2 linked regions of the Rattus norvegicus genome follow. The protein of the gene in region 2 purifies or fractionates together with the protein of the main gene of each other region. This does not show direct contact. Links are inferred from orthologs where the notes say so. Each region holds a gene or a part of one and is shown on either strand. Other genes may lie near its edges.

Evidence for each region.
Region 1: the proteins of Cd9 (region 2) and Itga6 purify together in Homo sapiens (co-immunoprecipitation; 3 studies listed by BioGRID and IntAct, with this or other methods). This does not show direct contact. The link is inferred for Rattus norvegicus from reciprocal best matches to the Homo sapiens genes CD9 and ITGA6.

Annotation. Positions count from the first base shown.
Region 1 is NC_086021.1:77,066,434-77,070,240, reverse strand, and holds part of Itga6 (integrin alpha-6 precursor), read right to left. Parts: intron 2,927-3,807; coding exon 2,716-2,926; intron 1,958-2,715; coding exon 1,764-1,957; intron 1,628-1,763; coding exon 1,539-1,627; intron 524-1,538; coding exon 405-523; intron 1-404. UniProt on the Homo sapiens protein: Integrin alpha-6/beta-1 (ITGA6:ITGB1) is a receptor for laminin on platelets. Integrin alpha-6/beta-1 (ITGA6:ITGB1) is present in oocytes and is involved in sperm-egg fusion.
Region 2 is NC_086022.1:159,972,274-159,976,797, forward strand, and holds the start of Cd9 (CD9 antigen), read right to left. Parts: upstream 3,086-4,524; 5' UTR 3,025-3,085; coding exon 2,959-3,024; intron 1-2,958. UniProt on the Homo sapiens protein: Integral membrane protein associated with integrins, which regulates different processes, such as sperm-egg fusion, platelet activation and aggregation, and cell adhesion.

The sequences.
Region 1 (3,807 bases), on a different chromosome or scaffold from region 2:
TTAAACCTAGAGCTACCTAAAGGCTAGAACTACTAGCCAGCTAGTTCCAGGAATCCGTTCCAGGGCTGGAATTACAGGAGGGGCTGCTATGCCTGCCCAGCAGTGCCAGGCAAGTGACTTGAAGCCAGAGTCATATCCCCGAGACTCGAAGAAAGGTTTTAAAGATATATTTAGGAAGCAACACTTTCCATTAATTCCAACACATTTTTACTCCAAATCAGTTCAGTATTAGCAAGAAATTACATAATTTTTATCATTTACTGTTATATCCCGTCCAAAAAAAAAAAAAACCTTCAAATTTATACAAGCCTTTGCCTCGATAAATAGGTAAAAATGAATAAACAAAAACAACAGAGTAAGATCATTTTGAAGCTTGTTTAACCAAAGTCAACGGCAGCACACACCTGAAAATAGTTACTGAGTCTGAGAGGGAACCCACAGCAACGTCAGGGTAGGAATTCCTGTCCAGGTCCATGTTCCCAGCGATTGAGTAGCCGAAGAAAGGCGTTGTACCCTCAAGAACCTGGAACGCATGCACAGGCATTAGAATGAACGCTGGGCCACTAACTGAGCTGCCTGGCTACAGCTGAGAGAAAAACACAAAGGCGCCAGGGAGGCAGCTCCGCGGTACAGCACTTCCCCAGGACGGACAGAGCGGGGACTGGGGTCCCTGTCACCACCAGTAGTAACAAAGAAAACAGAGAGAGAACAAGATAAAGTTCATTTAGAACAAAAGCTGATGAACATAATTATTATATTACGTTGTAGGTGTACAGATCCATGTGATTTGTTTCACCAAAGCCATCTGAGTCACCCAGTATTCCAAAGGATAAAAGCCTGGTTTGTTTATTAAGTTAATCAGTGTAGTTTAAAACCAACTCTAACTGCCCCCTCCAGTCGTATTTTCAGAACAAGTTAGAACCCTTGGGGTCTGAATTCTCTGTGTAATTACGATGTTCTATTTGTTTCAATCCTGTTTCAATCCTGTTCAAGCACACTGCTAAGGGAAGCAGTACAGGTCACCTCCTCCCGATCTCTGGGTCGAACGGTCTTCACTCCGGGTTACCCTGATTTCCTAACTTAGCTGAGACCTTTTAAAACAAGCAGGTCACTGCCTCTGTGTGAGTGTGTCAGAGCCTTCTTCCAGGGATACTGTGCAGTTGACGCCAGGCTTGAGGGATGGCTCAGTGGTTAAGAGCACAGACTGTCCATCCAGAGGACAGAGGACCCCAGTATTATTCTTCCCCGCCTTCCCCACCACCACCAGGAGGTTCACAACCACCTGCAGCTCTAGTTCCAGGGGATCTGACACCCCCAACCTCCTGAGTATTCCCTCCCATTACCCATCTCTCCCCTCTTCCCTTCTCCCCCTCTCCCTTCCCTCCTCTCTCTCATACACATAATTAGAAGTAAAATAAATAAATATTATTTTTAAATTCACACTATTGAATACTTGAAACTGAAATGTGTCTGAAGAGTTACCTAAAGCTACATACAGGCAAAAGGCTGACACTATTTTAAAGAGGTCATCTGGTTACCTGTGTTGGCTTGGTAATTATGCCAGTCGGGGATCCATGATAGATAAAAACCTTCCCCAGATCGTCATAGGGAGCTCCAACAGCAATATCTATTGACATTACATTAAAAACAAGTTATTATTTAAAAAAATACTCCAGCATCTTAAAGTAAGATGCTGTGAGTGCTCATTAGGCACACCCACCCACTTTCTACGAATGGTAACCACTTCATAACCTATCACCCACCCGGATAGCCATCTTGATTAATATCGCCGATATTTTTCACTGCGATTCCAAACATCGAGTCTTTGGTCCCATTTAGACGAACTGGCTTCACATTACTCCATCTGCCTTGCTGGTTAATGTAGACGTACACCGCACCCCCGACTTCGCCATCCCTGTCAAAGTACTGTGGCGCTCCGATAACGATGTCTTGCCACCTAAAACACAGCAAAGGGGAGAGCTAGGGACCACTGCTAAGGTGCCAAAAGGCATAGGGAAATTACTACCAATATAGGCTCCAAGGAACACAGCACAACAGAGAGGGCCTCCAATCAGGGACTCGCGTGTCATCAATCAAAATACTGAACAGAAGATCTGTGATAGGCCAAGGAAATGGTGAGGGTAGCGATTTAAAGGTAGTCCCTCGAGTCAGAGGCACAGTACAGGAGCACTTCCAGAAAGGATCTGCCATTCCATTACCATTTCCAGCTGGCCTCAAGAACTAGGAGTCCTCTAGGCAGTGACGGTCACCACTTCCAACTTTCTGTGAGACACTTGGGATGCTCGACAGCTGCCCCCTTCCCCATAAGAAACCACAGACTGTCACGTAGCTGATGCTGATTCCCTAAGTGATTTCTTCTCCAAATTTAAATCTTTAAGAAACTTGGGGTTGGGGATTTAGCTCAGTGGTAGAGCGCCCCTGGGTTCAGTCCCCAGCTCCGAAAAAAAGAAAAAAGAAAAAAAAAAAAGAAACTATGATTCCCCAAGTGAACTCAGGTGAAAGTGTAATTTTTAAAAGGTCATTATTCTGTGTCACAAGGGTGGGGGTGGGGGGGATGAATGTCAGCTGTCAATCAATGATGAAGACTGGACAGGATAGTAAGGCATTTTTTTTTTAACCAACTAATCCACAGTCCTTCTCTAGAAGCCAGTCACCAGCAACATTAGCTGGACATAGTAACAAAGATCCGCTTACCCATCTGCATTGAGGTCCACCACCGCCACGTCATAGCCAAACGAAGAAGCCAGGCCTTCACCATCAAATATATACTCAAGGAGAAGATGTGCTGACTTCATGTCTCTTTTTAGCAAAACTACAGCCCCACTGTGATTGGCTCTTGGAGCACCAGATACAAAAGTGATGTCATCTTTAGAAACAATACCCTTCCCTGAGTCCAGAGAAAAGCCTAGAAAAACAATAGACTCATATCAACCCTGAACATTAGGAGGATACCAATGTGGTAAATAATGTTTCCCTCTGGATCCCCACACACCTCTCCACACAATCTCCCATCTACATCTACATTTACTACAGGGGTCACAGTGCTAAAGGACTTGACAGGTCAAAAGCAAAGTGCTATAGCACTTTTACTGCTTTCTATAGATATGAAGACTTTTAAAAAAGTTTTACGCTATTTAGCACTTGTATAGCTTGAATTGTGAACTATTCAACCATCTTAAGAATCAATTCAAGAGGCTGGAGAGATGGCTCAGGGGTCAAGAGCACTGACTGCTCTTCCAGAGGTCCTGAGTTCAATTCCCAGCAACCACATGGTGGCTCACAACCATCAGTAATGGGATCTGATGCCCTCTTCTGCTGTGTCTGAAGACAGCGACAGTGGACTCACATAAAAGAAATAAATACATAGACTAAGAAAGAGTAAAAAAACTCTTTAAAAAATCAATTCAAATCCTATTTTGATATTAAAACTATGACAAAGAAAGAGAAAGCCAGATACTGAAGTCCCCTGGGAATGCTACGTCATATGCTCAGTACGTTACAGGGTTCTTCGTTGACCAGTGATTTACATGAACAGCATCTATACTTTTCTGTCTAGTTGGTAATCAGGCAAGAGCAAATGCTAACACTGCTAACACATAATAGGTAGCATCTCATTACTTTGGACCAAGTCAGTTCTCAGGCACAAACATGCAAACAAACCATGCATGGTGATTCAGTCATTTGAGAACCTCGCATCAACAGTAGAGGTGAGTAAGCTGTCACTTGGATCGGTGACATACTGTTCAATGGGTAGACCGCATTGGAATGCCCAATTATAATGCACAA
Region 2 (4,524 bases):
TGGGGAAAGGGCAGAGCGTGTGGAAGCAGGGTCTGCCTCACTCAGTAGAGACCATCTGTCCTTTCCTTGGCCTAGGCTGAGGACCATAGAAAGCCCTCACTATGTGGGATCTGGGGCAATGGGTAGAATGGGGAAAGGCCAGACAGAGGCAACAGGATCAAGGCCAGTGTGGCTGCGTGTACAGCAAGGCCACAAACAAATGAACGAACGAATGAACGGGAAACAGCACATTCCTGGCCTGGCTCACGGCTGGCCACCACATCACGGCCTGGAACACTCCTGTCACCTGCCATTCAGGCACTAGACATCAGAATGATGTTTTCTTCCTCAGTTCTTTTCTTTCTTTTCTGGAGGGAGTGGAGGGATAGACACAGAGAGATCTGAGGGCAATTTGGGAACAACCAAAATAGCTTTGCAAGGTCTGGCTCTGAGGATGTTGGAAAAACAGACTGATTGCTGGCTTGGCTGTGGGCAAGAGACACCCAACTTCAGAAAGGCAGGCTGGGCAGGCTCAGCTGTCATGGAGCAGCCCACAGGGGACATGCTCAGGCCCAGGAGAGAGGCTGATTACCCTTTTCCGGTCCTCCCTTCTCCTCCACTGCCCCACTACAACTAAGAAACGCTGGCTTCTCTTTGGATTCCCGCCACCCAGCCCCTCAGCATCCTCTGCGGGCAAAGGTGGCCCCTGCTTTTCAGAGCCCACACCAGGTACCAAATGTCAAGTTCATAAATCACCAGTCTCAAGAGACTGAAGAGGTGACATAATAATCCCAAGGGTCCGCCGAGATCACCGCCTGTCATAAAAGATATTTTGAGGAGTTTTGCCTCAGCCTTCTTTTACTCCTGCCTGAAAGCCAAACCCAGCTTACCACCTCACTTGGTAAATACCCTGTCACTTGACCCTGCCTATAGCACTTAACCTTCCACAGGCAAGGTTTCTGGTCACCAATAGGCAAATGGGATAACTCTTCTTTCTCTGGCATTATCATGGAGCTGGGGGGGAGCCTTTGGAGGCTGTAAAATACTTAACAGAGGTTGTAACATGACTGTCACCATTAGAGCCCAGGGTAGGACAGGTAACAATAATTAACTTAGTAAACTGCCCACCTCCCTAATGGTAAGAGAGACAGGAGAGTAAAGAAGGAAAACAAGGTGCCCAGAGGTCAGAGTACTAACTCTGCTTTCGATCTTGGGCACTCTGTTTCCTCACGGTGGACACGAGGGCTAGCACCTATAGTTGGTACACAATCTCTGAACCAGTTCCCAACCCCCAAACCAGACCCTTCTAGGGTGAGATTGTTCTGCTTCAGGAGGCACAGTCAACCAGCAGTGCCTCATGGGGGGTGGGGGGGGACGACGACTCTGGATAGGAGTGAAGTGGCAGCAGGAGACAACGCTGGACAGATTGCAGGCCAGCAGGCTACAGACTGAGAAGACATAGGGTGGCCCTGGGCACCTCCCCTCTGCCCCTTGCCTATGCCATGGGGCAGATGGGGGAAGCAGGCAGGCTGTGGCAATATGTGGTTTCCTTTCAGCACCAAACATTCAAACATCTCTGCGGGCAGGCGTCTGGGGACTGACCCCAGACTAGCAGGGGAGCGACTACTTGGGGAGAGTGAGGAAAACTCCCCAGAGGACAGGGCGGGGCTGGGTGGGGCCAGCTGCCTTCAGACTTTGTTTTGTGGTGCTTAAGCAGATGAGTGGGCCAAGCCAAGCCTGGGATCTGGGCTGCCTGTCTGCAGAGCTGGGGAAACAGGCCAGGAGGGAATGCCTTCCGACATCCTCTTAAGTTGTATGGGTGTGGTGGCTCTTAGAAACCCAAGGCGGTCTCTGCAGGTTGGGCAACACTTCCAAGCAACTCCGGGGAGTATTAAAGCTCCCAATTGCTGGAAGAGGTTAAGCATCCCGATGGCCAGCTCCAAGGGAATAGTGTACTTTTTCGTTGTTGTTGAAAGCCTCTGGTGGCACAGGAGTTGCCTGGTTAAACTCTTGCACCGGAGCAAATGCTGTCCATTTGTGTGTAGGCGGTGTGCCCTCCCAGAACTAAGACAAAAGGGTTTTCCGTGCGTTTCCTTGCTTCTGTCCCTTAGTTTCTGGAGAAACTCTCTGATGCTTTTCCCAGAGGTTCATCTGCATAGTTTACTAGCACCTGCCTCTGGGGCCTCTGCAGGTGAACAGCCGTTCCCCGTGGCCCCACCTGGACATTCTTAGGAGGCGAGGCTTCAAGCCCGCAGTGCCTGATTACCTGGGAAATGCAGAAACACCGGACTTATCCCATCTAGAGGCGCCGATAGGCACCCCGCCGTCCTTTAACTAACTCTCCAGAGTTCTCTCCAGCCAAGATAGTTATCGCTCTTGAAAAAGAATCAAGACAATCTAGTCTTTCAGGTAGCTTAGAGGGAGGCAAGGACGTTCTCAGTTGAGCGTTCAGAACTCAAGGAAAGGCCGTCCTCCAGATGCAGGGAAGACTCTCCACACCTATTTCCTCTCCCTTGTGACGCCCCTTACCACTTGTGGGACCACCGAAGTGGGAGACACTCAACTGCCCTGCTGGCCAGGGGCCTCGCGGGCCAGGGAGGGCATCCAGTTACTCGAGAAAGGGTGCTCTGTTCCTCCCTCCCTCCTCTCTCACACTCGGGGGTTCTGCGGGTGGGATCAGGCACAGACCCCATCTCAAATCCTCGGCGTCAGAGGGACCCGGGAGCGAAGTGCACAGCCCGGGCCACGAGGATCCTCGGCTCTCCCACCCACCTGCCCCTCCCGCCCACCTGCCAGTCCCGCCCGGCCAGCTGGCAGCCGCCGCGCCTTTCTCTTCTCGCCCGGAGTCCGCCTGGCGCGCACAGTACCAGCAGCTCCTCGCGCTCTCGGCCGCCGGGACACTCACCGCCCCGGACGCCGTCCCGGGCCTGAGAACAGGTGGTCCCGGAGAGGAGCGCGCGACAGTTGCCTCTCACTCACCCAGAAGATGAAGTTAAATCCAAAGAGCAGGTATTTGATGCACTTGCTACCTCCTTTGACCGGCATGGTACAAGCTGGACTTGCGTGGGACAAGAGGCACGCACGACCGGGACCGAAGGAACTCGACAACCGACTGAGACACGCTGAGGCTAGGGGCTGGCCTGAGGCTCCACTTTTAAAAAGTGCCACTCCTTACGGCGCCCGGCCAGCTGTGATGCGCATGTGCCGAGGGATGCCGACCCCGCCCCCCGCCCACCTGCCCCGCCCATGACTTAATCCCCTCCCCAGACCAGGTTCAGGGACTGCGTGCGGCTCCCTCCGCACTGCAGAGCTCTCCCTGCACTCTTCCTCCCGTAGTCCCGTTCCTAAGATCTTCTTTCCCTCCATCTTCCTTCTTCCCACCGTCTCGGGGTCTTTCCAGACTTTCAGACATGTCTTCTTTTAGCGAGAGTTAAGTGTTGGCCTCGCCTTTACCAGGTCACGCTGGTTCATTCTAGGCTCTGCGTAGGAACATACGTTGGGAGACCCCCAAGGGTCATCTAATCTAAAGAGCCTTTTCAGATTCCTGCGACAAGTCTGCCGGGCCCTGTTTGCCTGGCTTGCGTTCTCTCTGACACCTCCTTGTAAGTAAACCTTTCCTGACTGAACGTACTTATTTGAGCGTAGGGGCCGCTAGAATGTTCAATGTTCCAACCTGAGCAGTTCTTCCTTGCTCAAAAACTTTCTACGTTCAGAGATTGAAATCCTTTATCCTGTATTTACCCCGCCCGTTCTTTCCCTGTCCCACCTGGTACTACACTCCTACTTTGCCTAAATGCCTGCAGGGGTGTGTAGTTGGCCTCCCTGCCCCCTTTATTTTTTATTTAAATGTATTATTATTTTGAGACAGAGTCTTACTATGATGTCCTGTCTGGCTTGGAACTCCCTATGTAAACCAGACTGGCCTCGAACTCATTACTGCCTGCCTCTACTGGGATTATAGGCATGTGCCATATGCCCAGTGATTTCATTATTTTTGAAGTGGGATCTAGCCATAGTAACCCTACTTAAGTAGCTTAAGTAGCTAAGGCTATCCTCAACTGCAGTCCTCCTGCCAGAGCATTTCAGGCATGGACCACCATGTCCTGTTGTGAGGCTCTTTAAAGTCTTTCTTGATTTTCACAACTGAGGGAGGAGGCCCTTCGCCATGTCCTTTTCCGTTTCCTCTCCCTCACCCCTGTGGGAAGTTTCCTTAGCATTCTTTATTGGAAAAGCAAACCATACTTATTACAGAAACATCAGAAAACACCAAGAAGCAAAAAGGACGTGAGTTAGATTTTTTTTCCTGGGTTAAAGTACGTTGGGGGCCAATGCTACAGGAGACCCTGTCTCCAAAAATGAAAAATAAAAACAAGACATTTTTTCACGTAGCAAACCCAGCCTCTGTTAGCATAGCATGGCTCTTTTTTCTTTTTCTTTCTTTCTTTCTTTTTTTTTTTTTTTTACTATTTATCAGTAGACCGACTTCACTATGTATCAGTAAGTAGACTGATTCATTAATCAATCCAAAAATTAAAAACATTTTCC